4 linked regions of the Elephas maximus indicus genome follow. The protein of the gene in region 1 purifies or fractionates together with the protein of each later gene. This does not show direct contact. Links are inferred from orthologs where the notes say so. Each region holds a gene or a part of one and is shown in the gene's direction. Other genes may lie near its edges.

The links.
Region 2: the proteins of SF3B4 (region 1) and DDX42 purify together in Homo sapiens (affinity purification with mass spectrometry; 3 studies listed by BioGRID and IntAct, with this or other methods). This does not show direct contact. The link is inferred for Elephas maximus indicus from reciprocal best matches to the Homo sapiens genes SF3B4 and DDX42.
Region 3: the proteins of SF3B4 (region 1) and ILF2 fractionate together in Homo sapiens (co-fractionation; 3 studies listed by BioGRID, with this or other methods). This does not show direct contact. The link is inferred for Elephas maximus indicus from reciprocal best matches to the Homo sapiens genes SF3B4 and ILF2.
Region 4: the proteins of SF3B4 (region 1) and SNRPA1 purify together in Homo sapiens (affinity purification with mass spectrometry; 3 studies listed by BioGRID and IntAct, counting the BioPlex papers as one, with this or other methods). This does not show direct contact. The link is inferred for Elephas maximus indicus from reciprocal best matches to the Homo sapiens genes SF3B4 and SNRPA1.

The regions. Positions count from the first base shown.
Region 1 is NC_064821.1:184,069,571-184,076,883, reverse strand, and holds the start of SF3B4 (splicing factor 3B subunit 4), read left to right. Parts: upstream 1-4,303; 5' UTR 4,304-4,353; coding exon 4,354-4,387; intron 4,388-4,848; coding exon 4,849-4,977; intron 4,978-5,242; coding exon 5,243-5,785; intron 5,786-6,098; coding exon 6,099-6,305; intron 6,306-7,313. UniProt on the Homo sapiens protein: Component of the 17S U2 SnRNP complex of the spliceosome, a large ribonucleoprotein complex that removes introns from transcribed pre-mRNAs.
Region 2 is NC_064837.1:54,987,332-54,994,625, forward strand, and holds the start of DDX42 (ATP-dependent RNA helicase DDX42), read left to right. Parts: upstream 1-4,278; 5' UTR 4,279-4,285; coding exon 4,286-4,365; intron 4,366-6,451; exon of another isoform or gene 6,452-6,623; intron 6,624-7,294. UniProt on the Homo sapiens protein: ATP-dependent RNA helicase that binds to partially double-stranded RNAs (dsRNAs) in order to unwind RNA secondary structures. Unwinding is promoted in the presence of single-strand binding proteins.
Region 3 is NC_064821.1:191,504,757-191,512,284, reverse strand, and holds the start of ILF2 (interleukin enhancer-binding factor 2), read left to right. Parts: upstream 1-4,519; 5' UTR 4,520-4,621; coding exon 4,622-4,626; intron 4,627-5,275; coding exon 5,276-5,335; intron 5,336-5,855; coding exon 5,856-5,898; intron 5,899-6,351; coding exon 6,352-6,456; exon of another isoform or gene 6,457-6,489; intron 6,490-6,998; coding exon 6,999-7,076; exon of another isoform or gene 7,077-7,325; intron 7,326-7,421; coding exon 7,422-7,524; intron 7,525-7,528. UniProt on the Homo sapiens protein: Chromatin-interacting protein that forms a stable heterodimer with interleukin enhancer-binding factor 3/ILF3 and plays a role in several biological processes including transcription, innate immunity or cell growth.
Region 4 is NC_064831.1:93,106,347-93,113,801, reverse strand, and holds the start of SNRPA1 (U2 small nuclear ribonucleoprotein A'), read left to right. Parts: upstream 1-4,434; 5' UTR 4,435-4,505; coding exon 4,506-4,587; intron 4,588-6,579; coding exon 6,580-6,727; intron 6,728-7,376; coding exon 7,377-7,455. UniProt on the Homo sapiens protein: Involved in pre-mRNA splicing as component of the spliceosome. Associated with sn-RNP U2, where it contributes to the binding of stem loop IV of U2 snRNA.

The DNA.
Region 1 (7,313 bases):
TTCTATGCCATCCCATGACCCATCACTGTCTTCCTCCAGGCTTATTTTACACCTCTGTCCCTCAGGTCTTGTCTCCGAAAAGCCAGTGACATCTCAGTTTTAGTGACCTCCAAAGTTCGCTCTGTAGTACTTCAAGGTGAGTTCCTTGGGTCATCTCACTCCACTCCTTGCCTTTTTCCTTTACCCACGATTGGATTTTGCCCAGAGAAGGAGGCCCATAAGGCTCTTTTGTCCCCTTGTAGGACTAGCTTCTTCTTCAGTTACCAGAAACTACCCATGAGCTCTAATTCTTACCCTTCCATACTACCTCTGCCTCCCCACTGTAGTTTGTCATCCCTAACCCTACGATTCTCGATTCTCGCCCCTCTGCTCCCTCCCTTCAATCACAGCATGGGTGCTGAGGTTGGGGTGGGAAGGGCAATGCCAAAGCTGGTTTGACAAATGTGACTGTGCCTCCTACATTGAGCTGGGTTTTTCTACTCAGGTGGAGTCTATGAAGTGAGTCATTCAAGATCTTTATTTTCTCTTCACTCCTTCTATGTGCCCTCTCAATCCTACCTAACCCAAAATGTTTCTCCTCTGTGCCTCTCACTTCTCCTTGCCATGTTTCCTCTTCCCATTCTCTCCTGCCCTAGTTTCTTGGCCCCTTTTCTTTGCTCCTTCCCTCTCTTTATCACCCAGAGCTCGGTGATCGTGATCTCAATGGCCTCCTCTCTTCACTCGTCCAGCTGCTTTCAGCCCCCGAAGCCCGAACATTGCTTGGCTTTCAATCACTAGTACAACGAGAGTGGGTGGCAGCTGGACACCCCTTCCTGACCCGGCTTGGGGGAACTGGGGCCAGTGAGGAGGTGAGGATTTGGGAGTGTATTGGGGGGTATTACTAAAGAAGTAAGGGGATGAGAATAATACATAGTATAATCCATTGTAGGAGAATTCGGTCAGAGGATCCTAAGGTTAGGCTGAGATTAGACAGAGACCAAAATGAGAGAGGTCCCACAATCCCCTACTACCCTCAGTTCAGATTTCCATTCCCTGACCTCCTTAGTGCCCCGTTCCTGTGTCCCCCACCCCTCATCATTTTGTGATCTTCCCCCTTAAGTCTTCACCATCTCTTCTAATCTCTTAATTTCCCTCTTCTCAGGCTCCAGTGTTTCTCCTCTTCCTTGATTGTGTCTGGCAGCTCCTCCAGCAGTTTCCAGCTGAGTTTGAATTCTCTGAGTTTTTCCTTCTTGCTCTTCATGACAGTGTCAGAGTCCCTGACACCCTTACGTTCCTGAGAGATAATCCCTGGGAGCGTGGAAAGCAGAGTGGACAGGTCAGTGACTTCCATTTCTGACCTGTCTTTTTTTTTTCCCGTTGAGATGTACTATCTGAAGTTTAGCCTTGATTTGTTTTGAGTAAAGAAGTGTTGGGTGGGGATGAGGAGGTTGATGCTCATTCTCAAGACTGGACTTTTGCCTTATATTTGATTTTTGGAGTAAGAGGTGAGCGTTTCATGATGATTTCTCTTTAGATTTGGGAAAAGGACTGTATTTTTTGTTTGTTTAACCATCCCTTTTCTTGCTTCCTCTGTTCAGTTCAGCTCCTATACACAAGTGTACACCCCACGGAACTCCCAGCCCCTACCTGGGAACTCTGTTAACCAGCAGCTCTCTGTCTGGGACTGGGGTTTACGCTACAGCAATGAACAAATCCTACAATTCCATAATCCTGGCTATGACCCAGAGCACTGCCCAGATTCCTGGCTCCGTAGACGACAGGTGAGGTGTCAGTGATTTCTAAATTCCCCTGACTTTCCCACAGATTCATCCCACTAGACGGGGAAAAGTGGGAAGACAGTATCTTAGTTGCCCATGGGGAGCTATCCCACTCCTGTTATGCAGGTGTCACTTATGAGCCCTGACTGTCCCCAGAAAGACAGAAACCCTAGAATGGCATAGAAGGCATCCTTTCTGTCCTTCTCATCTCTGTTTATTATTCTTCCTGTCTCATGCATTCACTTTTACAGGTTTCCCTAAATCAACTTCAGTCAGTCCTGAGGCCTAGTTTGAACCCTAATAAGGAGAGTAGATAAACAGTTCTCAGGGAGAGGCTTGTAATTCCAATCACTAGTGCAGTGGCAGCTGATGCCTCTTCCTGGCCTAACTTGGGAAAACTGGGTAGTCTGGTTTCTAGGTTGCCAAATGATTTCTCTTTCCCCCCCAGTCACGCTTCATGGTTCCTGGACCCCCCAGTTCTGTGTGGCTCTTCTCTAGAGGGGCCCTGACACCCCTTAATCACCTCTGTCCTTGGCGGGACAGTCCCTCCCTACTGGCCGTCTCTTCTCGTTGGCTTCCTCGACTAGCCATCTCCACTGAAAGCCTGGCTGACCAGGAGTGGGGGCTCCCCTCACATTGGGGGGCTTGCCCTTTACCCCCAGGGCTACTGCTTCCTGGAAATCTGGGACCCCAGATCAGGCTCTGGAAACGCTGCTACCTGAGGGGAAGGCCTGAAGTCCAGGTGAGAAGGGAAGACAGAGGTTGGGAGTGGGAGAAAGGGCTTGACTGTTGAACCAGATGAGCCGGAGTTGGAATGGCAAGGGGCTAGGGGGAGGGGCTGGAAAGTGAGGTACCACTCCTGTTGGTATCAAACTGGGTAGTTTTGGGAGGGCGGGGGAAACTGCTTGTGGCTTAGATCAAGTGGAACCCCAGGCACAGTTGGAAGGAGAAGGAGAATTAAAGACACCGGACGTAGTGTATCTTAGGAGAGGGCTAGAACTGCAATAATATTCCTCTTACCCCTCTTTGCCCCATCCCCAGATGGGCCTGTCAGCTCCCACAATCTCTGGCCTCCAGGATGAGCTATCCCATCTTCAGGAGCTATTAAGGAAATGGACGCCAAGACCACCAAGACTATCTCCTGAAGATCACTCTAAGAAGAGAGACCCAAATACCATTCTCTCTCAACCCTGCTGAAACTGCTGGCATTGTCACAGACAGGGAAGAGGCCTGCCTGGGTTGAGGGAGGGTTCTGTCTAATCCTGATTTTTCTTATCTGGTTTTGCTGCCTCAGCTTCCACACTCCAGCCCTTAAACAAGCTTACTTAGCAGGCCTGAGTTTCCATTGCAGGGGGTGGCGCTAACCTTCTCCAACTCTTGTCCTGTGTGTTTTGATTCCTCGAGATTTTTTGTTTGCTTGTTTCTCGTGATTTGAAGAAATCAGTAAACAAAATCTATAATGTGATCTCCCATTTTTTTCAAGGCATTACCACCTCTTTTGGATATCAGCTGTTAAATTGTGAGATCAGAGATGCTGGTCATCATCCCAACAAGATGGCCTAGTGACCTCATTCTTACCCCTCTTGCTGCTTAATTCCAATTAATATTTCTTATAGTTCTCCATGAGAATGGGGTGGATATGGGAGACACCCTGCCTCCTCCAGCTGTGTATTTTTGCAGTGACATTTGTATTTAAAAGGTTGATTAAAGCACGGTATTTATACACGTTGCTGGCATTTATCTGAATAGATGATTCTAGGTAGCAAAGAGTGGTGGGTGGAAGGTGGGTGTGACCCAAGAGAGGAAGGCACCCACCATATTATTACGAGATAAGAGAATGGAGTCAGGTGAGGGTCTGCAGAATTCACATGTAATTTGGCAAAAGGGGTTCATTTCTCTGTGCCTCCCACTTTAGGGGTAGATGTGGCAAGAGCTGGGGAGCATATCAAGAGTTGTTGTTGGGCTAGTGTGTTCAGGCGGCTGAGACAAGGCTCTGGGCTTCAATCCCAGCCACCCCTTGGCTTTGGTGTCCCATCATCCCCCTGCAATAACGGCTAGCCGAGCTTCGACGTCACTCCCCGCTCAGACATTCCGCAATACCCGCCCGAGGGAAAACAAAATACCTCAAGCCCAGGCCGGAGCTGTGAAGCCGAATCTGGCGAGGGCTGCGAGCCAAGGTGGAAGGCAGCCGAGCCCTTGGGCGCGGGTTCCTCAACACTTTTCTGAAGGAAAAAAGATCACCTGGCTACAAGATACATGAAAAGCAGTTTTGTTTCTAGCTTTCAAATTTACATTTTCGGGAGCAGCTGCATGGTTTAACCTCTAGCACTGCTTTACGGGGTCTGAACGTTTCCGTTTCCCCTCCCAGCTCGGGCGCTCGCAGGCGCGGCCCGGAGCAAGACCAACACCCCACAGCAAGAGTATCCCAAGCCGCGCCCAATCTCGGCGCCTCCTAAGATGGCTCCGGCCGCTTCCGGCTCCTCTCCTGCCGCGGCCGCGCCCGCCACCCTACCACGGCCTCTGCCCCGGAAGTGGAAGACGCGACTGCGGTCAGGGGGCGGGGCTGCTGCTTGGAGACGGCGGGAGCTCGTTCGCCATGGCGGCCGGGCCGATCTCTGAGAGGAATCAGGGTAACTAGAGGGGACGAGCCCGGAATGGGCACAGGGGAGCTGGGAGGCTCCGACTAGAGCCAGCAGGGTCACTGCCGGGGCGAGTGACTGGATCGCCTCGTAGAGCGCGGGACCGGCAGCCATGCCTGCCGGGGGCGGGGTGGTCGGGTGCTTGCTGAGGCCTGTATGTGTGATGCCTTCTGTGCCCAATTTCCTCTTGCCTTCCCACTCAAAAAAATACAAAGTCCACGGAGAAAGGTAGAATTTTCAATAGAACACGGTGTTGGACTTCCGAAGATTCTCTAGGTCCTGGGAAGAAGGGGATTTAAGGGCTTGATCTAACATCTTTTTTTTTTTTTCTTTTTGCTCTTATCCCCTAAACCCACCCCCAGTTATCTTGCCTGAATTGCATTTTCATATTCTTGTCCCCTTCATTTCTTGTTATACTCTCACACCTACCTTAACCTTCACTTTTCCTTCAGATGCTACTGTGTACGTGGGGGGCCTGGATGAGAAGGTTAGCGAACCACTGTTATGGGAGCTGTTTCTCCAGGCAGGGCCTGTAGTCAACACCCACATGCCAAAGGATAGAGTCACTGGCCAGCACCAAGGTGAGTACCTAGCAAGACATGCATTTGTGTATTGAGGGGATGTAGTGGTCCTGGTGGGCTCTGTAGTAGTCACAGTGTTTGTAAGGAGTAGCGTTTAAAGAATCCTTTCTTTTGAACCTCAGTTCATAATTTGTTTCCAGAACCATTCTCATTGAAGTGAGGTTTTTTTTTTTTTCTTTCTTGTTTGTGCCTTGGTGGGGGATGAGTTTTACCCCCTTTCGAGTCTCTTCACTTCATTTGTTAACCTTCCCTTTTTTATACACAGGTTATGGCTTTGTGGAATTCTTAAGTGAGGAAGATGCTGACTATGCCATTAAGATCATGAACATGATCAAACTCTATGGGAAGCCAATACGGGTGAACAAAGCATCAGCTCACAACAAAAACCTGGATGTAGGGGCCAACATTTTCATTGGGAACCTGGACCCAGAGATTGACGAGAAGCTGCTTTATGATACATTCAGCGCCTTTGGGGTCATCTTACAAACCCCCAAGATTATGCGGGACCCTGACACAGGCAACTCCAAGGGTTATGCCTTTATTAATTTTGCTTCATTTGATGCTTCGGATGCAGCGATTGAGGCCATGAATGGGCAGTACCTATGTAACCGCCCTATCACTGTGTCTTATGCCTTTAAGAAGGACTCTAAGGGTGAGCGCCATGGCTCAGCAGCTGAACGACTTCTGGCAGCCCAAAACCCACTCTCCCAGGCTGACCGTCCTCACCAGCTGTTTGCAGATGCACCCCCTCCACCGTCTGCCCCCAATCCTGTGGTATCATCGTTGGGGTCTGGGCTTCCTCCGCCAGGTAAAGCTTTTGATTCAAAATGTGTTTGTCTTGGGGTTGAGGGGACAGAAGGGTGGAAAAGAACGGAAAAAAGGACAGCAAGTCAGTGGGTGATGAGGGCATTGGGGGGGGTGATGGTTGTGGTGTGGAAGAAAGTTGTTGGGTTTCTCCAGGAGAGTGAAGTTGTTTGAGTTGTCTAACACTGTTGCTGGCTTTAAGAGAGCTGGGAAGAGGGGAAAAGAGGTCATCCTTCTTGGAGAGGTCTGATTGGCACAAGCTCTCTAAAGATATCATCTTCTCAGTACTAGTAACTCTTCTTCCATTTCTTCTTTAGGTATGCCTCCTCCTGGCTCTTTCCCACCCCCAGTACCACCTCCTGGAGCCCTTCCACCCGGTATACCCCCAGCCATGCCGCCGCCACCTATGCCTCCTGGGGCTGGAGGACATGGCCCCCCATCAGCAGGAACCCCTGGGGCTGGACATCCTGCACATGGACATTCACATCCTCATCCATTCCCACCAGGTGGGATGCCCCATCCAGGTGAGTGTTCTTTGCTGGGAAAAGAAGGGATGAGCTTGGTAGAGGGGTTTTGTTATCACTCCTGCTGTTGCCTTTTGTCCCTCAACAAAAATAGGTAGTTCCAGAGCTCTCCTTTTTTTTATGTAAACAAAAACAAAATACTTTATATTGTTTACACTAACATGTGCTGCCACGGTTCCATTTCTTATTTAAGTTTTCCTGAAGAGTAACCTAAACTTGCAACTTTTTGTTTCCTTAACTTTTACTTGTATTCTTTCCTTTCATTTCCACCCCAAAAGTGACCTATTTCCAAACCTAGGGGACCCTTCTTTTTTGCTCTGACCTCTGCTGTACATGAAACTGGCCGTGTTCTTTTGTTTGAAATTCTTGTCTGGTTTGGCTTTTGTTTTTCTGGATTCTCCTCCACCTCTCTCTGACTTCTCAATCTCAGCCTCCTTCATAGGCTCCTTTTTCCCTGCCTGCACCTAGGATCTTGTGCTTGGTTCTCTTTTCCGCGTATTTTTATATTTTTCATTATTCATTGATACTTTCTAGGTCTGTTTCTTTAGTCCATGGTTATTAACATTCCAGACCCATAATTCTCCTGTTTAATGGACAGCTAGCTGTACTGTGCTACCCCTTTGGTACCTTAAACCAAACATGACTAAAAATGAAATTTTCTACTCCTTCCCTTCAGACCTACTTTTTCTGTCATATTCTTTGTTTTCAGATGCTTAATTCATAAATTTGGGAGCTGTATTAGACTATCCTCTATTACCCTGTTCTTAGAATCTCTGGCATCTACCCACATTGCCAGTGTCCTGGTTCAAGCCCTCATTCTTTTATTTCACACCTAAGTTATCATAGCAATCGTGTAACTGGTCACTTTCACTCCAGTTTTCTCTGCCTTTGATCTGTCTTTCATAGAATAATTTTTCTAAAACATGGGTGTTCACATACCCTTGGGTTAAAATTCTTCTGTTTTTCCCTTTTACCTGTAGAGTAAAATCCAAATTCATTACCAGGGCA
Region 2 (7,294 bases), on another chromosome or scaffold:
CGCTACTGAAACCTGTCTACCATGGTGACCCCGCCAGTATTTGAAATACTGGTGGCATAGCTTCTAGTATCATAGCAACACCCAAGCTACCACAGTATGACAAACTGACAGAAGGTGGTGGTCTGTCTCTTTGCCCCATCCTTTGCTCCTTCCCTCCAGCTGAGGAGGAAGAGTCACTTGCTTTTCTTGTTAAAGGTTTCGATCTTGCCTCTTTGGGTCACCTCAAGGACCTTGTTCCTGTGAGTTTTCTGCTGCCGCCTCCCCCCCCCCATCTTCAATATTTCTCTGTTGGCTTTTGCTTATAAACATGTTTAAAGTTCTTAAAAAAACAAAATTGCTCTGTTAATGCCCCCACCGTCAGTATTCCTCTTTACCGTCTACGTACATACCAGTCACTTCTCAACCCTGCAGGGTAGGGTCTGCCCTGCTGCTCCACTGAGACTGCTTTCCCTGATGACGCCTGGTGTACAGCCAATAGAGGCTTTTTAGTTCTCCTGCTTACCTGACTTCTCTCTCTCTTTTAATTTTATTGTGGTGAACTATAAATAATAAAAAAAATTTGCCATTTTAAGAGTGCAATTCGGTAACATTGATTATATTCTCCGTGTTCTGCTATCATCACCACTATTTCCAAGTTTTTCATCATCCCAAACAGAAACTCAGTACCCCTTGAGCAGTAACTCCCTGTTCCCCCAGCCTCTGGTAACCGCTAATAACCTTTTTTCTCTCTGCATTTGCCTGTTATAGATGTTTCATATAACTAGAATCATATAACATTCATCCTTTTGTGTCTGAATTACTTCACTCAGCATATTTTCAAGGTTCATCCATGTTGTAGTATGTGTCAGAACTTCTCTTTATGACTGAATAACATTGTATGTATATATACCAGATTTTGTTTATCCATTTATCTGTTGATGGACACTTGAGTTGTTTCCAGTTTGGGCTGTTGTGAATAATGCTGCAGTGAGCATTGGTGTACTAGTATTTGTATGAATCCCTGCTTCCATTGGGGGGAAAAAAAACCGTAGCCCTGAGTCAATTCTGACTCAAAGGGACCCTATCGGACAGAGTAGAACTGCCCCATAGAGTTTCCAAGGAGCGTCTGGTGGATGTGAACTGCCGACCTTTTGGTTAGCAGCTGTAGTACTTAACCACTACACCACCAGGGCTTCCCTGCTTCTGTTAGTAATCTTATAATCACTTTCCTTGCCTCCAGCTTTTCCTGCTGTCTCATCTGTGCTTTCTAAAGCACTGACCTGAAGAATTCTCCATTTTGCTTAAAAATATGCCTTATGGCCAGCAGAATATTGTTTTGTATATTCTTAGTATAGAATACCAAACTGGCCACTTGGGCCCTGCCTGTCTTTCTGGACACGTGTCGTGTAGCTCTCCCAAATGTCCTACTGAACTCTAGTTGCACTGAACTATTTCCAGTTCTCTGATTGTAGTAGTACTTATTGTTCCCTCAAACAAAAATGCTGTCCTCGAATACTTCCTCCCTAGCCTAATGCTTCTTCAAATTTCAAAACTTAGCATCAGTGTCATCTCCTGAAAACTTCCATGCCTTCCCCCCACTCAGCCTGTGTTGTTTCCTCTCTCCTGAGCCACCAGTGAACGCATTTTGTGCAGTACCTTTGTTAGAACACTCACCTTGTTTTGTAGCTGTTGGCTAAGATTATACTGTGAACTCATGGGGAGAACAGGGACTGTTATCTTTAGTACACTGCCTGACCGTCTGCAGCAGGCTTCCAGTAAATCATTGGAAGTTTTCCTTTTCACTTAAAGATTGTTCATACTATTCTTAATTCATCTGAACCTGAACGTCTTTCCACCATCCCTTCTTTGCCTGCCTTCTGATTTCTATAGTTCATTTATTAGCCCCTCATTCTACATGGTATGTACTGGGAAAACAGGTTAGTCCATCATTTTGGGTGCTTAGGAGCAGCTCTTGTAAAAGCAGGCTTAAGTATTATCAGATGCTGAAATTTTCTTGCTTGTGAATATTCTTACTAAATCTCATCTCACTAGAATTATGTTCATTCCTCTTACTGGATTTTTAAAGAAATTAGCAGATGGCCTTAGTTAAATGCAAATTAGTGCAGTAAAACCTGTAAAACAGGTAAACCTGTCAGAGAAGGAAAACTTGGTTTCCACTAAGTTGAGAGTGACGGGAAACCCTGGTGGCGTAGTGGTTAAGTGCTGTGGCTGCTAACCAAAAGGTTGGCAGCTCAAATCCACCAGGTGCTCCTTGGAAACTCTATGGGGCAGTTCTACTCTGTCCTGTAGGGTCGCTACGAGTTCAAATTGACTTAACAGCAACGAGTCTTTTTTTAGAAAGTGATAGAAAAGTGGTGACTGCACCATGTCAAAGGTGAAAAATTGCGAGACCTGGAAAAACAAGGCAGTCCTGTCAAGTTCTGGCTCTCACAGGTTTCCTGTACTTACTAAGTACCTACTGTAGGGTGCTTACTGTTACGGAAAGTCCAAGTTGAGTAATGACAGTTCCTATCTGGAGCTCTCAGTCTAAGGCTGGAGATAAAAAAGAAAAAACAAACCCGTTGCCATCGAGTCGCTTCTGACTCATAGCGACCCTATAGGACAGAGTAGAACTGCCACATAGGATTTCCAAGGAGCACCTAATGGATTCAAACTGCCGGCCTTTTGGTTAGCAGCTGAAACTCTTAATTACTACACCACCAGGGTTTCCAAGGATGAAGATAAACACCGTGTAACTGAAATCTAATACTAAGCAGACTGAACAAAGTGCTATATAAAATAAAAAGACTCATTGCCGTTGAGTCGATTCCAACCCATAGCGACCCTATAGAACAGAGTAGAACTGCACCATAGAGTTTCCAAGGAGCGCCTGGTGGATTCCAAGTGCCAGACTTTTGGTTATTAGCCGTAGCACTTAACCGCTATGCCAACAGAGTTTTCAAGTGCTATATAGTGGCAACTCAAACAAAACCTGTATATAGGGGAGGGATGTAGAACCAGAAAAGTACACAGCATGTTTTTCTGGTCCCTGCAACAGTGTCATCTCTAAATGCTTTATACACCTTAATAAAGCAGTTTTTTGGAACTTCTTGCTACTTGTAAACCCTAGTGGGGGCGGTTCTACTGTGTCCTATAGGGTTGCAGTGAGTTGGAATTGACTCCCTGGCAACGGGTTTGGTTTTTTTGTTCACGTGGATTTCAGAGCCCATTGTAAGCATTTTAATTATTATTAATCGTAAACTTTAACACAAGGGAAAAAGTAAAAGTCAACAATAACTGCCACTAACATTTTGATAAACAGCTTTCCAGCTGTCTCTGCATTTGTAACACATGATCTTACATAATTAGATCATACCACCTACCTTCTTTTATACTTCTTTTACTCAGCGTATAGTAGATACTTTTCCATAGGTGTAAGTAGTAATTAAACTTTCTAAAACTTTAATTACTAATATTCCTTTTGACTAAGTAGTTGCATTTTAAAAATTGATTCTAAGGCAATAATTACGGGTATTCACAAAGATACAGGTATAATGATATGTTTCACAACATAAAACAGTTGTTGTTAGGTACTGTGGAGTCATAGCGGCCCCATGTACAGCAGAATCAAACACTGCCCATCCTGCACCATCCTCAAAATCGTTGCTGTTTAAGCCAGTTGTTGCAGCCGTTGTGTCAGTCCGTCTCGTTGAGGGTCTTCCTCTTTTTTGCTGATCCTCTCCTTTATGAAGCATGATGTTCTCCACAGACTGGTCCCTCCTGATAACGTGTCCAGTAAGTAAAACAAAGTCTCAACCATCCTCACTTCTAAGGAGCGTTCCGGCTGTACTTCTAAGACAGATTTGTTTGTTCTTCTTATGGTTCGTGGTATACTCAATATTCTTGGCCAACACCATAATTCAGAGGCATCAGTTCTTCCTCAGGCTTTCTCAATCATTGCCCAGCTTTTGCTTGCATCTGAGGTGATTGAAAATACCATGGCTTAGATCAGTGGTCTTTTGTGACAGATTTGCCCAATTCAATGTATCGTTAGATTTCTTGGCTGCTGTTTCCATGGGTGTTAATTCTGTATCTAAGCAAAATGAAATCCTTGACTACATCGATATTTTCTCTGTTTGTTGTGATGTTGCTTATTGGTCCAGTTGTGAAAGTTTTGTTTTCTTTATGCTGAGGTGTAATACATGCTAAAGGCTATATGTAGTCTTTGCTCTTCATCGGTAAGTGCTTTGGGTCCTTTTCATTTTCAGCAAGCAAGGTTTTGTCATTTGCCTATTGCAGGTTGTTAATGAGTCTCCCTCCAGTCCTGATGCCATGTTCTTCATATAGTCCAGGCTTCTCGAATTATGTGCTCAGCATACAGTTTGAGTAAGTATGGTGAAAGAATACAACCCTGACACACACCTTTCTTGACATGAAACTATACAGTACACCCTTGTTCTGTTTGAACGACTGCCTCTTGGTCTATGTACAGGTTCCTCATGAGCACAATTAAGCGTTCTGGAATTCCCGTTCTTGGCAGTGTTATCCATGATTTGTTATGATCCACACAGTTGAAAGCCTTTGCATAGTCAGTAAAACACAGGTAAACATCTTGCTAGTGTACTCCGTTTTTAGCCAGGTTCCATCTGACATCAGCAGTGATATCCATCATTGCACGTCCTCTTCTGAATCTGGCTTGAATTTCTAGCAGTTCCCTGTCAATGTATGCTGCAACCGCTTTTGAATAATCTTCAGCAAAATTTTACTTGAGTGTTACACTAATGATATTGTTTGATAATTTCCGCATTTGCATTGGATCACCTTTCTTTGGAATGGGCACAAATGTGGATCTCTTCTGGTCAGTTGACCAGGTTACTGTTTTCTAAATTTCCTGGCGTAAACAAGTGAACACCTCTAGCACTGCATCCATCTGTTGAAACATCTCAATTGATACTCTGTCAGTTCCTGGAGCCCTGTTTTTTGCCAGTGCCTTCAGTGTAGCTTGGACTTCTTCCTTCAGTACAGCTGGCTCTTGATCGTATACTACTTCCTGAAATGGTCGAACGTATGTGTATCCCTTCCATCATCTTTTGATGCTTCCTGCAGCAATCAGTATGTTGCCCATCGAATCCTTCAATATTGCAACTTGAGACTTCCTTCTTTCAGGCTTGAGAAATACTGAGTGTGTTCTTCCCTTTTGGTTTTCTAACTCTGGGTGTCTTCACTTTTCATTGTAATACTTTGCCTTTTCCAGCTGCCCTCTGAAATTTTCTGTACAACTCTTATTTCATCATTTCCTCCATTCGCTTTAGCTACTCTACATTCAAGAGCAAGCTTCAGCGTCTCTTCTAACGTCCATTTTGGTCTTTTCTTTCTTTCCTGTCTTTTTAATGACCTTTTGCTTACTTAATGTATGTTGTCATCCCAAAATTTGTCTGGTCTTTGGTCATTAGTGTTCAGTGTGTCAAACCTTTTCTTGAAATGGTCTCTAAATTCACATGGGTTATACTCAAGGTCATATTTTGGTTCTTATGGACTTGTTTTAATTTTCTTCACCTTGAACTTGAACTTGCATATGAGCAATTGATGGTCTGTCCCACAGTCGGCCCCTGGCCTTGTTCTGACTGATGATACTGAGCTTCTCCACCATCTCTTTCCAGAGATGTAGTCGATTTGATTCCTTTGTATTCCACTGGGCAAGGCACACATGTATAGTCACCATTTATGTTGTTGAAAAAATTCTATCATACCATCCCCAGTGTCGTCTCTGTCACCAATGCCTTATTTTCCACCTATCTGATCCTCCTTCTTTGTTTCCAACTTTCACATTCCAGTCATCGGTAATTATCAGTGTACTGTGATGGTATGTTTGATCCATTTCGACTACAGAAGTTGGTTAAAAATGTTCAATTTCCTCATTAGTGGTTGGTGCGTATATTTGAATTACAGGTGTATTAACTGGTCTTCCATATAGGTGTGTGGATATCATCCTATCACTGACAGTGTTGCACTTCAGGATTGATCTTGAAATGTCCTTTTTGATAATGAATGGGATGTCATTCTTCTTCAGTTTTTCATTCCCAGCATGGTAGACCATGTAATTGTCTGATTCAAAATGGCCAATACCAGTCCATTTCAGCTCACTAATGCCTAGGATATTGATCTTTATGGGTTCCATTTCATTTTTGACAACTTCTAATATTCCTAGATTCATACTTCGTACATTCCACATTTCGATTATTAGTGGATGTTTGCTTGCTGTTCTCATTTTGAGTCTTGTGCCACATTAGCAAATGAAGGTCCCAAAAGTTTACTCCATTCACAGCATTAAGATAGACTCTAAGGAGGTAGCTCTTCCCCAGTTGTATTTTGAGTGCCGTCCAACCTTCCGGCTCCTGTATCAGACAGTGTTCCACTGCTGTCATAAGGTTTTCACTGGCCAGTTTTTTTTTTTTTTTTTTTTTTTTTTCAGAAGTAGAACACCAGATCCTTCTCAGTCTGTCTTAGTCTGAAAGCTCCACTGAAACTGCCCGCCATGGGTGACCCTGCTAGTGTTTGATACACCAGTGGCATAGCTTCCAGCATTACAACAACATACAACCCACCGTAGTACGAAAAACTGACAGACCAGTGGTGGTATACAGGTATGTTTCACAGCGTATGGCAGTAGTGGAGGGATATACTTATTGACATTTAAAGACATTCACAGTGTATGAGTAGATGAAATCAGCTCACTAAAACTGTACAGTATGGTTTCAGTTTTTTTTTTTTTAGTTATATATTTTCGTGTATACACATTGTTAGGCGCATGTACATAGAAAAAAAATAGGGAAAGAGATCAACAAAATTACATACCTGGGAGAAGAAATTTCAAGTAAAAACACAAAATTTTAGATTTTGCTCCTTTTTGCTTTCTGAGTTTTCTGTTTTTCTAAGAAACTTTGATAACTTGTGTAATTAAGATTTTTTTTTTGGCATCAAGAGTTTCAAGGTTCTGTTTGTAAACTGACTCTATGGATACTTTGATTCTATACACACAGACACTGGTATCTCTCCTTCGCTATCATGGGTACTTTGTAGTCCTTATCCAAAGGCTAAATGGATATTTTAGGGAACACCTCAGTGATGTTGTTAGTGTTAGTTGCCCTTGAGTCATAGAGACCTTAAGTATAACAGAACGAAACCTTGCCTGGTCATGTGCCATCTTCATGATAGTTGGTTTGTTAGAGTCCATCATGGTGGCTGTTGTGTCATTCGGTCTCATCATGGGTTTCCCTTATTTTCATTGGCCCTTTACCAAACATGACATCCCTTT
Region 3 (7,528 bases), about 7.4 Mb from region 1:
GTTCCTATATACGGAATTCTAGGAGAATTTTGAATATTGTTATGGTCTAGAGCGGAGGTTGCAAATGGCGCTCACGGGCCAAATTCAGATGGCAGGCATGTTTTGTTTGGCCTTCACTCTCTACCTATATTTTATTTCATTTCCCGCATTAAAAAATTAGCAGACGACACGTAAACATCTCAATTTCTGGCTTTTCTTGAAATATCGGAGGAGCAGGCAATATCGGTCCTGCAGCCCCCATAATCAATCAACTGGAACAAATTACTCCTCAGCTCCTTTGGATGAGCCTAGTTCATCCAAGTTCCTACCCTGCTTCACTCATTCACATCACCTGCCTAGTCATGGTAGGAGTTGTTTTCAGACTGACCTAGCACGTAAGGTGTTTGCACACGGGAATGACTGAGGAGGAGAAGCTGCTGCTAAGGGCAGACCCTGAAAGCTTTTGTGTGACTGTGTTAGTTATCTAGTGCTGCTATAACAGAAATACCACAAGTGAATGTCTTTAACAAAGAGAATTTATTCTCTTACAGTCCGCTAGGCTAGAAGTCCGAATTCAGGGCGCAGCTCCAGGGGAAGATTCTCTCTGTTGGCTCTGAAGGAAGGTCCTTGTGATGCATCAATCTTCCCTTGGTCTGGGAGCACCCCAGTGCAGAAACGGCAGGTCCAAAGGACGCACTCTGCTCCTGGCGCTGCTTTCTTGGTGGTATGAGGTTCCCCTGTCTCTCTGCTTGCTTCTCTCTTTTATATTTCAAAGACATTGGCTTAAACACTATCTAATCTTGTATATCTCATCAATATAACTGCCACTAATCCATCTCATTCCATCATAGTGATAGGACTTGCAACACATAGGGAAATCACATAAAATGGTGGACAATCACACAATACTGGGACTCATGGCCCAGCCAGGCTGACAGACATTTTTGGGGGACACAACTCAATCCATGACAGTGATAGACTAAGGATTGCTTAATGTCTGTATCCTGTAAGGGGGGCTCCAGAGGCAGTGGAGGTAGATAGGAGATGTTTCAAAAGTAGAATCAATTAGATTTTTGGGAAGGGAAGACAGTTTACAAATAACTGAGGCTGGGTGGGGATGAAAACAATTTTAGTCTGTTGAGTTTGAGAAGACTGTGGATACCCAAATGGAGGTGTCTCATTAGCTACTAGGTTAGTGGAGCTGGAGTCAGAAGAAATGACTGGACTAGATATACAGTTTAGCCCTGAGTTGTTATGCAAATGATGCACGTATTATGTTTTTGCCAACGGAGCAACCCCCTTGCACGTTATTTTCCTAGGCAGTATGTGCGTTATATGTGTGGATACGTTATTTAGGTGTGCAGGTTATTTGCGAAAAATATGGTTATTGAGCTCCTCTTTCAATATCGCTGGACTAAATAACTGAGCTGGAGACAACTACAAGTGCTGAAAGAAATATTTTTTCAAAAATCAAAGAACTAATAAGATAGTGAGGAATTGTTGGTCTGAGAGATGAAAGGACAAGAAAACAAAGAGCTGAGCCCAGCTGTAGGGCTGTTTTTGCCCTGGGTTCATTTGCTGATCCAGAACTGGTGGCAGAAAATAGGCTGGCGGGCTGTTGTTTTTCTTAGCTGCTTTTCAGTGGATTTGACTCATGGCGATCCCATCTACAATGGAATAGGAGGTTGCCCGGTCCTACACCATCTTCACGATCCTTGGCATTCTGGAGTCCATTGTTGCAGTCACTGTGTATTCTGAGTGCCTTCCAACCTAGGGGGCTCATCTTCCAGCACTATATTGGAAACTATTCTGTTGTGATCCAGGAGATTTTTACCGGCTAATTTTCAGAAGTAGATTGCTAGGCCTTCCTTTCCAGTCTGTCTTGGCCTGGAAGCTCCACTGAAACCTGACCACCATGGGTGACCCTGCTGGTATTTGAAATACTCGTGACATAGCTTCCAGCATCACAGCAACATGCAAGTCACCACAATATGACAAAGTGACAGACAGGTGGTAAGGCTAGTGAGACAAAAATTGGAATGCAAATATCCCCAAAGGTGAGGACTCTGGTAAACTACCTTCCTGTTTTAGGTTAGGACCGACCCCGAAAGGCTGGACTCCTAGGGGAAATTTAGGAGAAGAGTTAACCTGAAGTAAATAGATTACTTTTGTGGGAATGGGACAGTGCTGTATTTCCAATAGTATGGTTCTTTGATTTGACATTAAAAGCTATATAATGATTCTTATTTCATGAAAGATGAGCTTTTATTAAAAAAAAAAAGTAAGTAGAAAATCCAGAACCAAAATATTCAAAAGCCAAAATTAAGGATCAATCGATACATTTAACAGCAGGTTAGACTTGATTGAGGATCAATTAGTGAATTGGAAGAAAGGACAGAAGAAACTACCCAGAATAAAGCATGGAAAACAAACGAACAAACAAAAAAGAAAAGGAAAACATGAAAGAGACATAGAGGATACTGTGAGAAAGGCCAACACACCTTTACTTGGAATTTCAGGAAGGAGAGAAATAATAGAGTAGAAGCAATATTTGGAGAGAGGTGGCTGAGAAGTTTAAAAATGCATGAAAGGCGTCAAGCCATGGATTCTTGAAGCTCAACAAACCTCAAACAAGGTTAAGAAAAAGAAAATCCATACCTGGACCCAGCAGAATAAAACTGTAGAAAACTAAATCAAAGAAAAAATATTTAAAAAAGAAAAAAAAAAGGATAGATTACTTTCAAAGGAGCAGCAATTAGACTGACAAGTGTTTTTTCTACAGCAAAAAATGGAAGCCATAAGACAGTAGAATAATATTGTAAAGGTGCTGCAAGAAAATAACTTTCAAGCTTGAATTCCATACCCAGAGAAAATATCCTTCAGTAACAACGGTGAAATAAAAATATATTCAGACAAACCAAAACCAAGAGAGTCAGCCACCAGTAGGGAAGCACTGAATTCTAAAGGGTATTCTTCAGGCGGAAGGAGTATTACCCCAGATGGAAGGTTGGAGATGCAGGAAGGTATAAAGAGCATTAAAATGGCACACATATGGGCTCCTCTAAATGACCATTAATTTAATAAATAAGTATTAAAGTCTTCTGAGACTTAAAATATAGAATTTAAATACTGTACATATACACACCTACACCTACCCGAGATTAATGAATGTATAGGACCCCAAGAAATCTTTTACAAAAATGTTCATAGCAGCTTTACATATATGACCTCAAATGGAAACAACCCAAAAGTGTTTGCATGTCTCAGCCTGTTTTCGGTCCTGACATCATCAACAGGAGAATGGATAAACAAATGGTGATATATTTACACAAGGGAATGCTATTCAGAAATAAAAAAGAATAAATTGTTGATCAATGCAAATCTGTGCGAGCATCTCAAAACGAGTTGAGCGAAAGAAGCCAGGCATAAAAGAGTACATACAGTATAAGTCCACTTATATGAAGTTCAAGGACCGACAAAAACTAATCCATAATAATAGAGATCAGAATAGTGATTGCCTCTAGGGGCAGGGCAAAGGGGTGTGAAGTGATTTTCGGAGGTCATGGAAATGTTCTTTGTTTTAACCTGGGTGGTGGTTACATGGGCATAATACATTACTCAACATTAAGAAGTAGAAAAAAATGTATGTAATTTTCAATTGATGGGGGAGGGAGGGACGGAATAATAAACGTTACTCTATGAATGCAAAAGAAGGCAAGAAAGGGGAGAAAAGGGATTACAGGTGAGACAACAGAGAGCACATAGTAATACGATGGATTTAAATGCAAATACAGTAAATCCGTACATGTTGTTGACGAAACCTGGTTGAAGGATGAAATATTCCAGAGAATTTGTAAAGTGAGGCGAGAACTGGAGCGAAGCTGGAGAATAGGGATGGTTCGCTACTTTTCTCCTTGCCGCTTCCCAGGGTCCCATCATCTGAGTCATCTCTCCAAGACGTGCTTCTGTTTTCTTTGTAATCCCTCACCATTCAGGGTTTTTCCTCTCTGAAATTAGCTTCTCTTGTCTCAAGTTTCTAGCTTTCTGCACTGCTGCCTGAAATAGCTAAAATCCCCATCTCACTTGCTAGTGTTAAACACAGCTTCCGAATGCCGCATTTTTGAGGCAGGAGAAATTAGAAACATGAAGCTCACATCTACTAAAGAAATTGAAATAACGCAAATTCTTCTTGCTGGGGCAATCAAAAAGCTTCCGGATAGCAGAGGATGGTTTCGATCCATCGACCTCTGGGTTATGGGCCCAGCACGCTTCCGCTGCGCCACTCTGCTACCTGGTAAGGCTGTGTCACAAAACTCATATAGAAAGTTTTCAATGTACTGGGGGGGGGGGGGGGGGGGGGTGTCTGATTTGTTGCACAGCGCCATCTAGCGTCTGTTCAAAAATTGTAGCCTTTGCTGTTAAACCTGCTCTTATTGGCTGATTCCTGACACACCATGCTTTTTTTTTAATTGGTTCTCCGGTTTGCCAGGATAAACCAATAGGCGTAAGCGATGGGGTAAGGCGGGAGCCAATCGCGCCGGGTTTTGTTGGGACACGCCGGCAAGCGGCCTCCACAGTTGTTGGCTCCTCGGGAGGGAAGAGGCGGTTTGTGTGGCCTCCATTGTTCGGGATTTAGGGCGCCATGAGGTAAGGGGGCCAGGGTGCCCTAGGAATGTTTTCAGTATTTGACTGGAATTTTGGGGAAGTCGGAGGAGCTGAAGAGGCCGCATATCGGAGGGCTAGCCTACGACCTGATAACTCCTGTCCTGGAAGACGGGGAGGGGTCGGAGGCCGGTCGGGTCGGGAAACTGGGGCCTGGGAATGGGGTGGGTCCTGGAAGTGGGGAGGCGGGTTTGACACCTTCGTCCTTTAGGGGCTTAGGTAACGGGGGTGTGCTCAGGTCCCGGGAGGAGTACCCCCCATTGAGACTGAGCAGGCTGGAACGTGTCGCATTCATCCTCAATGCCAAGTGCTTGATAGAGTATATGCGCCTATGTTATTGATAGTCCCAGAAGTATTAGGATTGGCGTGTCCTAGGGATTATGGTGTGTTTCTCGTAGGGCCTCGGTATCTGGGCCCCGTCATTACCTGGCGTATGGGTTGTGATTATCCAGAATGAGGAGGTCCTAGGGGAGGGGCTGGGGGAGAAGTGTAAATGATTGGGATGGGGGTCGCTTGACTTCCCAAGGGAGGTTTAGAGCGATGGAGGCAGGCTAGCTTGAAATGATGTGGCTGGTAGAGTGGAGATGCTTTCATTGAAGTCAAGAGAAAATAAAATCCTCTTATGCATTTCTAGGGGTGACAGAGGCCGTGGTCGGGGTGGGCGCTTTGGCTCCAGAGGTGGTCCAGGAGGAGGGTGAGTGCCAGTTTTTAACATCTTTGCACTGGTTGGTTCCTGTTTGAAACACCTAAATAAGAGTAAATGGTCCGCTTTTGTGAGGTCCATCTATGGTTTAGCAATACATGCTGTCCTGTTAAATGATGAGTTTGACCCCACTTTCCTAACAAGGATACCCCCCAGCAGACTCTCACTGATTCGGAGGACAGACATGTTTTCAAAATTCCTCATACATTATAACCACGATATATGATCATATTTACCAGTTGTCAGTGGTTGGGTGAAAGGTTGGGGTGCAGTATGCAATTATAATTTTGAGTGATCATTTTTTTCTCTCAAAGTTTTATATGTTTAGGAGGCTCAGTGACCTCTGGAATGCTAAAAGATGTACGTACCTCTTGATTTCAGCATGTAAGAGGTGCTAGAAAACCAAATTTTTGGAAGGAAACATAAAAACATTGTTTTGGCTTGTGCCAGAAATCTCATTTGATTTGATTTCTATGTTGTGAATAATTTAGACTATTTTTTTTTGTTTTAGGTTCAGGCCCTTTGTGCCTCATATCCCATTTGATTTCTATTTGGTGAGTACTACTTTGGGTTAATATGAGTTTCTTGGCCACAGTTTATCTGTAGATGTAGAGATGGAGCCCAACATCTCCCTGTAATGAAGTCAAATGGTGGGTAGAGTAGGAAAAGGGGTCTGTGAATGGGTATGGGGTTTTGTAGATTGCTTCACATAAACTGTCAGCAGGGTGAAGAGAGAATTCTTTGGCTACTGTTGTCAGTAATATGATTATAATCTTTATTTTGGATAATTAATTGTATTCCTGGCTTATCTGTTAATAATAAGGTAGTTTAAGCTTAAATTATGGCTGTTGCTTACAGATTGTATCCGTGTATTAACATCTTCAGGAATAAAACCAAGTGCCGAATTTTCTATTTTCATTTTTTCTGTTGTAGCAGCAGAAATAAGTCTTTCCTGTATATCATTTTTGGTAAATAGAACATGTAATAGTTGTTTATTTCTGGTTCAGTGTGAAATGGCCTTCCCCCGGGTCAAGCCAGCACCTGATGAAACATCCTTCAGTGAGGCCTTGCTGAAGAGGAATCAGGACCTTGCTCCCAATTCTGCTGAACAGGTATGTTCTCTTGGCTTCCCTTCTGAGATTTCCCTGAGAAGGTTAGAAAAGTAGATATGGGTGAGTTTAAAAATAATTTTATCAAAGCCTAAACCCTGCAGAAGGTTTAATTATTCTCATTTCTCATATGAGTGGAAACAGCCAGGTGAATACATGAACAGATTATATATGCAGTCAGATTTTTATTGGGGGAATCTATGGGATCAAAATTTGTTCTGGCATATTGAAGGCCAGCAGGGTCAAATTGTTTTTAAAGCCCTTATGTTGGTACTGGAACCCTGGTGGTGAAGTGGTTAAGAGCTTGGTTACTAACCAAAAGGTTGGCAGTTCAAATCCACCAGATGCTCCTTGGAAATTCTATGGGGCAGGTCTGCCTTGTCCTATAGGGTCGCTATGAGTTGGAATCACTTCATCAGCAATGGGATTTTTTTTAATGTTCGTACCGACTCAGCTTGTATAGAAGGGATTAGAGAAAAATACTCAAACCTTGAGAAACTGTAATTTTTCACTTTAGGTTATTTTTGTTTCATGCTGTTTTTCAGGCTTCTATCCTTTCTCTGGTGACAAAAATAAACAATGTGATTGACAATTTGATCGTGGCCCCAGGGACATTTGAAGTGGTGAGTTTTTGTTGATTTAGTTCTAGGAAAGGGCGGGCTTAGTACCATGGATGTTTCCTTGGCTCCTGTCTGAATTCTTCAGTTGCCTTTTATCCAAATCCCAGCCTAAAGTGGAAGAGTACAGTGGCATTCCTTTGTAGTACTGATCTTGGAAATGAGACACATACCATCGTTATCAGTTATCCATGATTTAGCAGGCTCTCATGTGGTTGTTTTGGGGATATGATTTGATCTCTGCTGCATCCAGATCTGGGTAATAAAGAAGCTTGTTGTAATAGAGCTCCAAAAAGAACAAGGCAGACTTTTTTCTTCTAAATTTTTCTTCCGCAATCCCTTTTCCAACAGCAAATTGAAGAAGTCCGACAGGTAGGATCATATAAAAAGGGAACAATGACCACAGGACACAATGTGGCTGACCTGGTGGTAATCCTAAAGATTCTGCCAACATGTGA
Region 4 (7,455 bases), on another chromosome or scaffold:
GAAGCCAGGTTGTATCAGTTGCATATCGAAGGTTGTTAATGAGTCTTCCTACAATGCTGACGCCACATTTTTCTTCAGATAGTCCAGATTCTCAGATTATCTGCTCAGCATACAGACTGAATAAATATTGTGAAAGGATAAAACCCTAACACACACCTTTCTTGAGTTTAAACCATGCAGTATCCCCTTGTCCTGTTAAATGACTACCTCTTGGTCTAAGTACAGGTTCCTCATGAGCACAATTAAGTGTTCTGGAATTCCCATTCTCTGAAATGTTGTCCATAATTTGTTATGATCCACACAGTCCAACAATGCCTTTGCATAGTCAATAAAACACAGGTAAACATCTTTTTTCTGGTGTTCTCTGCTTTTAGCCAGGATCCAGGTGACATCAGCAGTGCTATCCCTCCTTCCATGTCCTCTTCTGAACCTGGCTTGAATTTCTGGCAGTTTCCTCCTGATGTACTGTTCAACTGCTTTTGAATGATCTTCAGCAAAATTTTACTTGCGTGTGATATTAATGATACTGTTTGGTAATTTCTGGATTCTGTTGGATCAGCTTTGTTTGGGATGAGCACAAATATGGATCAAGTCTTGTAGTTGTTTGGCCAGGTAGCTGTCTTCCAAACTCCTTGGCATAGATGAATGAACACCTCCAGCTCTGCATCTGTTTGTTGAAATATCTCAATTGGTATTCTGTCAGTTCCTGGAGCTTTGTTTTCCGCCAGTGCCTTCAGGGCAGCTTGGACCTCTTCCTTCAGTACCATTAGTTCTTGATCATATGCTACCTCCTGAAATGGTGGAACGTCGACCAATTATTTTTGGTACAGTGACTGTGTATTCCTTCCATTTTCTTTTGATGCTTCCTGCATTGTTTAATATTTTCCCCAAAGAATCCTTCAACATTGCAACTCACAACTTGAATTTTTTCTTCAGTTCTTTCAGCTTGAGAAATGCCAAGCATGTAAGACAGAGTAGAACTACCTCATAGGGTTTCCAAGGCCATAAATCTTTACAGAAGCCGACTGCCACATCTTTCTCAAAAGAAGCAGCTAGTAGGTTTGAACCACGGACCTTTTGGTTAGTAGCCACACACTTAACCACTGCACCACTTGGGCTGCAGTTTCTGCTTAGGGAGATGAAAACCATTTGAAAATGGGTAGGGGGATGGAAGGAATACACAGAGTCATTACACCAAAAAGAATTAGTCAATATTCAAACATTTCAAGAGGTCACATATGATCAGGAACCGATGGTACTAAAAGAAGAAGTCCAAGCTGCTCTGAAGGCATGGGTGAAAAACAAGGCTCCAGGAATTGATGGAATATCAATTGAGATGTTTCAACAAACAGATGCAGCGCTGGAGGTGCTCACTCGTCTATGCCAAGAAATATGGAAGACAGCTTCCTGGCCAACTGACTGGAAGAGATCCATATTTATGCCTATTCCCAAGAAAGGTGATCCACCCGAATGTGGAAATTATAGAACAATATCATTAATATCACATGCAAGCAAAATTTTGCTGAAGATCATTCAAAAACAGCTGCAGCAGTATATCGACAGAGAACTGCCAGAAATTCAGGCTGGTTTCAGAAGAGGACATGGAACCAGGGATATCATTGCTGATGTCAGATGGATCCTGGCTGAAAGCAGAGAATACCAGAAGGATGTTTACCTGTGTCTTATTGACTATGCAAAGGCATTCGACTGTGTGGATCATAACAAACTACGGATAACACTGCGAAGAATGGGAATTCCAGAAAACTTAATTGTGCTCATGAGGAACCTTTACATAGATCAAGAGGCAGTTGTTCGGACAGAACAAGGGGATACTGACTGGTTTAAAGTCAGGAAAGGTGTGCGGCAGGGTTGTATTCTTTCATCATACCTATTTAATCTGTATGCTGAACAAATAATACGAGAAGCTGGACTATTGGAAGAAGAACGGGACATCAGGATTGGAGGAAGACTCATTAACAACCTGCGTTATGCAGATGACACAACCTTGCTTGCTGAAAGTGAAGAGGACTTCAAGCACTTACTGTTGAAGGTCAAAGGCCACAGCCTTCAGTATGGATTACACCTCAACATAAAGAAAACAAAAATCCTCACAACTGGACCAATGAATAACATCATGATAAACGAAGAAAAGATTGATGTTGTCAAGGATTTCCTTTTACTTGGATCCACAGTCAACAGCCATGGAAACAGCAGTCAAGAAATCAAAAGACGCATTGCATTGGGCAAATCTGCTGCAAAGGACCTCTTCAAAGTGTTGAAGAGCAAAGATGTCACCTTGAAGACTAAGGTGCGCCTGACCCAAGCCATGGTATTTTCAATCATATCATATGCATGTGAAAGCTGGACAATGGATAAGGAAGACCGAAGAAGAGTTGACCCCTTTGAATTGTGGTGTTGGTGAAGAATATTGAATATGCCATGGACTGCCAAAAGAACAAACAAATCTGTCTTGGAAAGAAGTGTGGCCAGAATGCTCCTTAGAGGCAAGGATGGTGAGACTGCATCTTACATACTTTGGACCTGTTGTCAGGAGGGATCAGTCCCTGGAGAAGGACATCATGCTTGGCAGAGTACAGGGTCAGCGGAAAAGAGGAAGACCCTCAACGAGGTGGACTGACACAGTGGCTGCAACAATGAGCTCAAGCATAACAACGATTGTAAGGATGGCACAGGACCGGGCAGTGTTTCGTTCTGTGGTGCACAGGGTCGCTATGAGTCGGAACCGACTAGACGGCACCTAACAACAACAACAAGGGGGATGAAAACCATTTGAAAATGAATAGTGGTGATGGTTGCTCAACATGGTGGATTTAATTAAAATCACTGAATTGTACACTTTGAAATGGTTAAAATGGCAAATATTTTGTTACGCATATTTACCACAATTTTTAAAAACCTGTGGGATCATGCCACCCAAAGACTGACCCCTAATGTGAACTATGGACTTGTTAATAATGATGTATCAGTATTGGTTCGCCAATTGTAATATATCACAGGAATGCAAGATATTAATAGGAGAAACAATGTGGGGAGGGGATGGGTAAATTCAAATTATTTTCTGAACCCTGTTTTTGTAAACCTAAAACATCTCTAAAAATAACGTCTATTTAAAATGCTAAACCCATTTTTCTCCAAAAAAAAAAATTCATCCTCTCATGGTTTTGAAGGCTAGAACTCTGAAATTAAGGTGTTAGTAGGGCCATGGTCTCTCTAAAGGCTCTAGGGAGGATCCTTCCTTGTCTCCTCTTAGCTCCGTGTAGTTGCCAGCAATCCTTGGCTCATAGATATCACTCCCATTTTGGCCTCTGTCATCACACGGCATTCTGTGTTTTTGTGTCTGTGTCCAAATTTCCTTCCAGTCGTGTTGGATTTAGAGCCAACCCTAATCCAGTACGACTTTATCTTAACTTGGCTATATTTGCAAGGTCCCTACTTCTGAATGAGATGACATTCTGAGGTTCTGGATGGTGGGGGGAGGCTGTATCAACCCAGTACAGTAGTTAGTGACTGGAAGAGGACAAGAGGGGAGCTTCCAGGGTGTGGTAATATCCTGTTTCTTGATCTGGATGTCAGCTGTTTAGGTGTACTCTGTTTGTTCTGTAGGTACATCACACTTCAATAAAAAGTTCTGAAAGAATCAATTCCAGGTGGATTGTAGAGCTAAATGTGAAACGTAAATCAAGTAAGCCTCTAGTAGATGCTATAGGAAAATATGTTGGGGGTGAGGAAAATCTCTTAAGCAAAACACATACAACCCACTAATCATAAACGACAGTATAAACTGGATTACATAAAAGTTAGAAACTTCTCATCATCAAAAAAGAGCATTAAGAGTGAAAAAGACACGCCACAGAGTGTGCTCGTATCCAGAATATATAAAGAATTCCCACAAATCAATAATGAAAAGGCAGACAACCCAATGGGGGCCAAAAAAAACCACAAATCAATAATGAAAAGGCAGACAACCCAATGGGGGCCAAAAAAAAAAAGAGAGAGAGAGAGACCGGAAATAGACACTTCAGGAAAGAAGCAATTGGAAAGAACACTATACACATGAGAACAGTGTGTATATCGTGAGGCCAGCTGTAGCTGGAGGGACAGGACCCACGGGATTCAGGGAAGGGTCCAGGGCTTAAGGTCCCTGTCCTGGTGCTGGGCTTCGGGCCGGGACACAGTATGAGCACCTGAGCTGGATCATCCGCTTATGATCATGGGGCACAAACGCCTGGAACCAGGAGCCCTCCATGGTACAGCTACGCCCCAGGAAGTAACCCCAAACCGGATACGGCCTCAACGCCCGTCAGCACCTTCGGAAAGAACGAGCCGCGGGCGTGGCCTCTCGATTGCTTCGGCCTGGCCGACGAGCTGCGCGCGCATGCGCCGGCTGCGATCGGTGCTGCCTGGCGGCGGGGCGCGGGGCACGCTGGGAGATCTCGTCGGCGGGAAGCAGCGGGCCGGGGCGCCGGGAAGCGGGTGGCGGCAGGATGGTGAAGCTGACGGCGGAGCTGATCGAGCAGGCGGCGCAGTACACCAACGCCGTGCGGGACCGCGAGCTGGACCTCCGGGGTGAGTCCGGGGACCGGGCAGGCGGCACGGAGACCTCGCGGTCGCGCCCCGCCGCGTGCGCCGCCGTTCTGGGCTCCAGGCCGGGCTGGGCGCTGGGACAGCCCGGCGGCCGCCCAGCAGACCGCGCAGTAGGCTCCCCCGAGGTGTCCGTCGACCCCGCTTCTTCGCACGCACCCGGCTGAATCAGGTGCGTCCTGAGCCGTCCCCGCGGGCCCCGGTGAGGCCGTGTGCGGCGGGGCTGGCAGTCGGGACCCTGAGGGCCGGGCAAGTCCGACTCGGGTGGAGGGCGAGCGGGATCGCTTGTCAGTAAATACGTTAGGATAGATCGCATGCGCGCTCGTTATCCCTAGTTTATGCGGAAGGAAGCAAGGTTCGGGAACCAAAGCCACTGTTCCCTTTCTCCAGTCTTCTTGTTAGCTTTATTTGCCTTCTGTCAAAACATTTAAAAAGTGTTGAACTGTTTGACCTGCTCCGGGGTCTCTCTAACCACCGCCGCAGGGCCTGGCCCCTTCACTGAATCCCGTGGTGTACGTGGTAGAAGCCCGTGGACCTATTCCGATCCCTGCGGGTCTTTCACCCCTAGTTAGGCTTCTCAAGAAGTGGGGAGCTCGAGTTAACTAGTTGGCATTTCAGGAGATGGCTTTAGAAGGGATGTGAAGAGCAGCTTCTCTGGGGATCACCATTCTCCAATCCTGGTCTGAGATTTGCCCGCACAGGACACCCTCGGGGGAGCATCAGTGCTCTGGCTCAGCTCCTTTCTGCTTAGATTCTTTGCCGAACTTTTGGGAAATTCCAGTGCTTTCATTATGTTGAAATTCCCATTCTTTAGACAAAGGCTCAGTTCAGTGGTAACTCACCACCTCCACTATCTTTGTGCATGTGGATCTCTACCTTCTGTTTCTGAAGTTCTCCCAGTGTTGAGAATACTTGTTTTGGTGCAATACTTACCTTTTTAAAAAACAATAATACGTTTTATTGTTGTCGTTGAGAATATACACGGCAGTATCTACTCTGGTGTAATTCTTAACAGCTCTGAATTATGTACTTAAACTCTAAAAAAAAAAAAAAACTACTGCCATCAAGCTGATTCCAACTCATAGTGACCCCATAGGGTTTCCAAGGCCGTAAATCTCTAGCTGGGTTTATTTCTTTTTTTCTAGCACCTAATTATGCCCACAAGTCAGTGAGTATTTGAGCAAATTGTTACACAGTATGATTTACCATTGTGTATAAACAACTGTGAAGTGGAGCTGTGTACTTTGTGAAAGAAGTTGTTGGAATGAACAGTACACATGAGAAGGTGTTCAACTTCATTAGTTATTAGAGAAAAACAAATTAAAGCAGGAGTGCAGTATCACTGCACACCTGTCAGAATCACTACAGTTAGGGGCAGGGACCATGATGTCATGATGAGTTCTAGGGGACTGGCCTGTGTTAATGCAAAAGAGGCTGAGAACTGTTGTCCACAATGTTTGAACAAGGGTCGGACACTGATAGTTGGTAGCTCAAAGTGTAAATTCCTGTTACCCCACTTAATTAGCTCTAGGACCTTAATTAAATCATAGAGCCTCCATTTCTTCATCTCATTTTTAATGGACGAAAAACTTAAAACTTAACTTGTGGGTCAAAATGACTAAAACTACTTACGCTACTTGAATAGTGGGAAGCACCTTGTAAATATTCTTACAAATGGTAGTTATTGGTATTATTAGTAAGTCCTCATTCTCATTGTCGTAATCATCTCCATGTCCACTGCTAGGCTGTCAGCTTCATAGCAGCCGGGGCCTGTGGCTCCCTTGTTCAACATCTTAACTCCAATACCTAGCACAACGTTTGGCACATCCTAAGTGCTAGGTAAACACTTCATCAGTGAATGAAAGCTTTGAGTCAAATTACCATGAAACGTTGCTAATGTTACAAGGTGCATTTTAATTATGATAGTGTGATAACCTTTTGTGTTTTTTCTTTCTCTCTTTTTCTTCCCTTTTACAGGTTACAAAATTCCTGTCATTGAAAATCTAGGTGCTACCTTAGACCAGTTTGATGCTATTGATTTTTCTGACAATGAAATCAGGAAACTGGATGGTTTTCCTCTGTTGAGAAGACTGAAAACATTATTGGTGAACAATAACAGAATATGGTCAGTGTCTGATTTGGCTGAGTATCTCTCTCACTTCGTGTCTTCTTCTGTCTGTATTTAGCTACACCTGATTTCTAGAATATTACTCATTTATTTAAACTGAAATCTTCTTTGATTGTCTTTCGGCTCTGTGCAAATATAGGAAAAAGTTAATGAAAGTCTGTAGATAACGTTTTTAGGAAGTACTGTGTGGTGTGGTTTTGGCTTTTTCAGATAGGCACATTTCTCATAAATTAACCATTCACTTATGATATAGTTGTATGCCTTGTAGCTGAGCTATGAATGCAGAATTGTGAATTTCTGTGGTGCACACACAGAAAAGTTATGAAGAGGACTATTTGGTAGTATGTTTTACTCAGGACTCTCTCGTTTTCCTAGGTTTCACTGGGAGCTGTAGAAATGGAAAGAGCCCTAGGCAGCTGTAGGAGGCATGGGCTCTAAGTCATCCCAGTGTGCCATTGCCCTCAGAGCCTGAGCATGATTTCCTCCCTGTGCTTCACTTCCCCATCAGATAGGGGGTTGGAAGAAGGATCCCCACGGCTCCTTCCAAGGCTGGAGTCTGAAACCCTCGGAGGGAATAAGGACTTAGATCAATCATTAGCCTACTGACTTTTCACTTTTATTAAAAGAGCCATTATTTTTATTTTAGCCGTATAGGTGAGGGACTTGATCAGTCTCTCCCCTGTTTGACAGAACTCATTCTCACCAACAACAGTCTTGTGGAACTG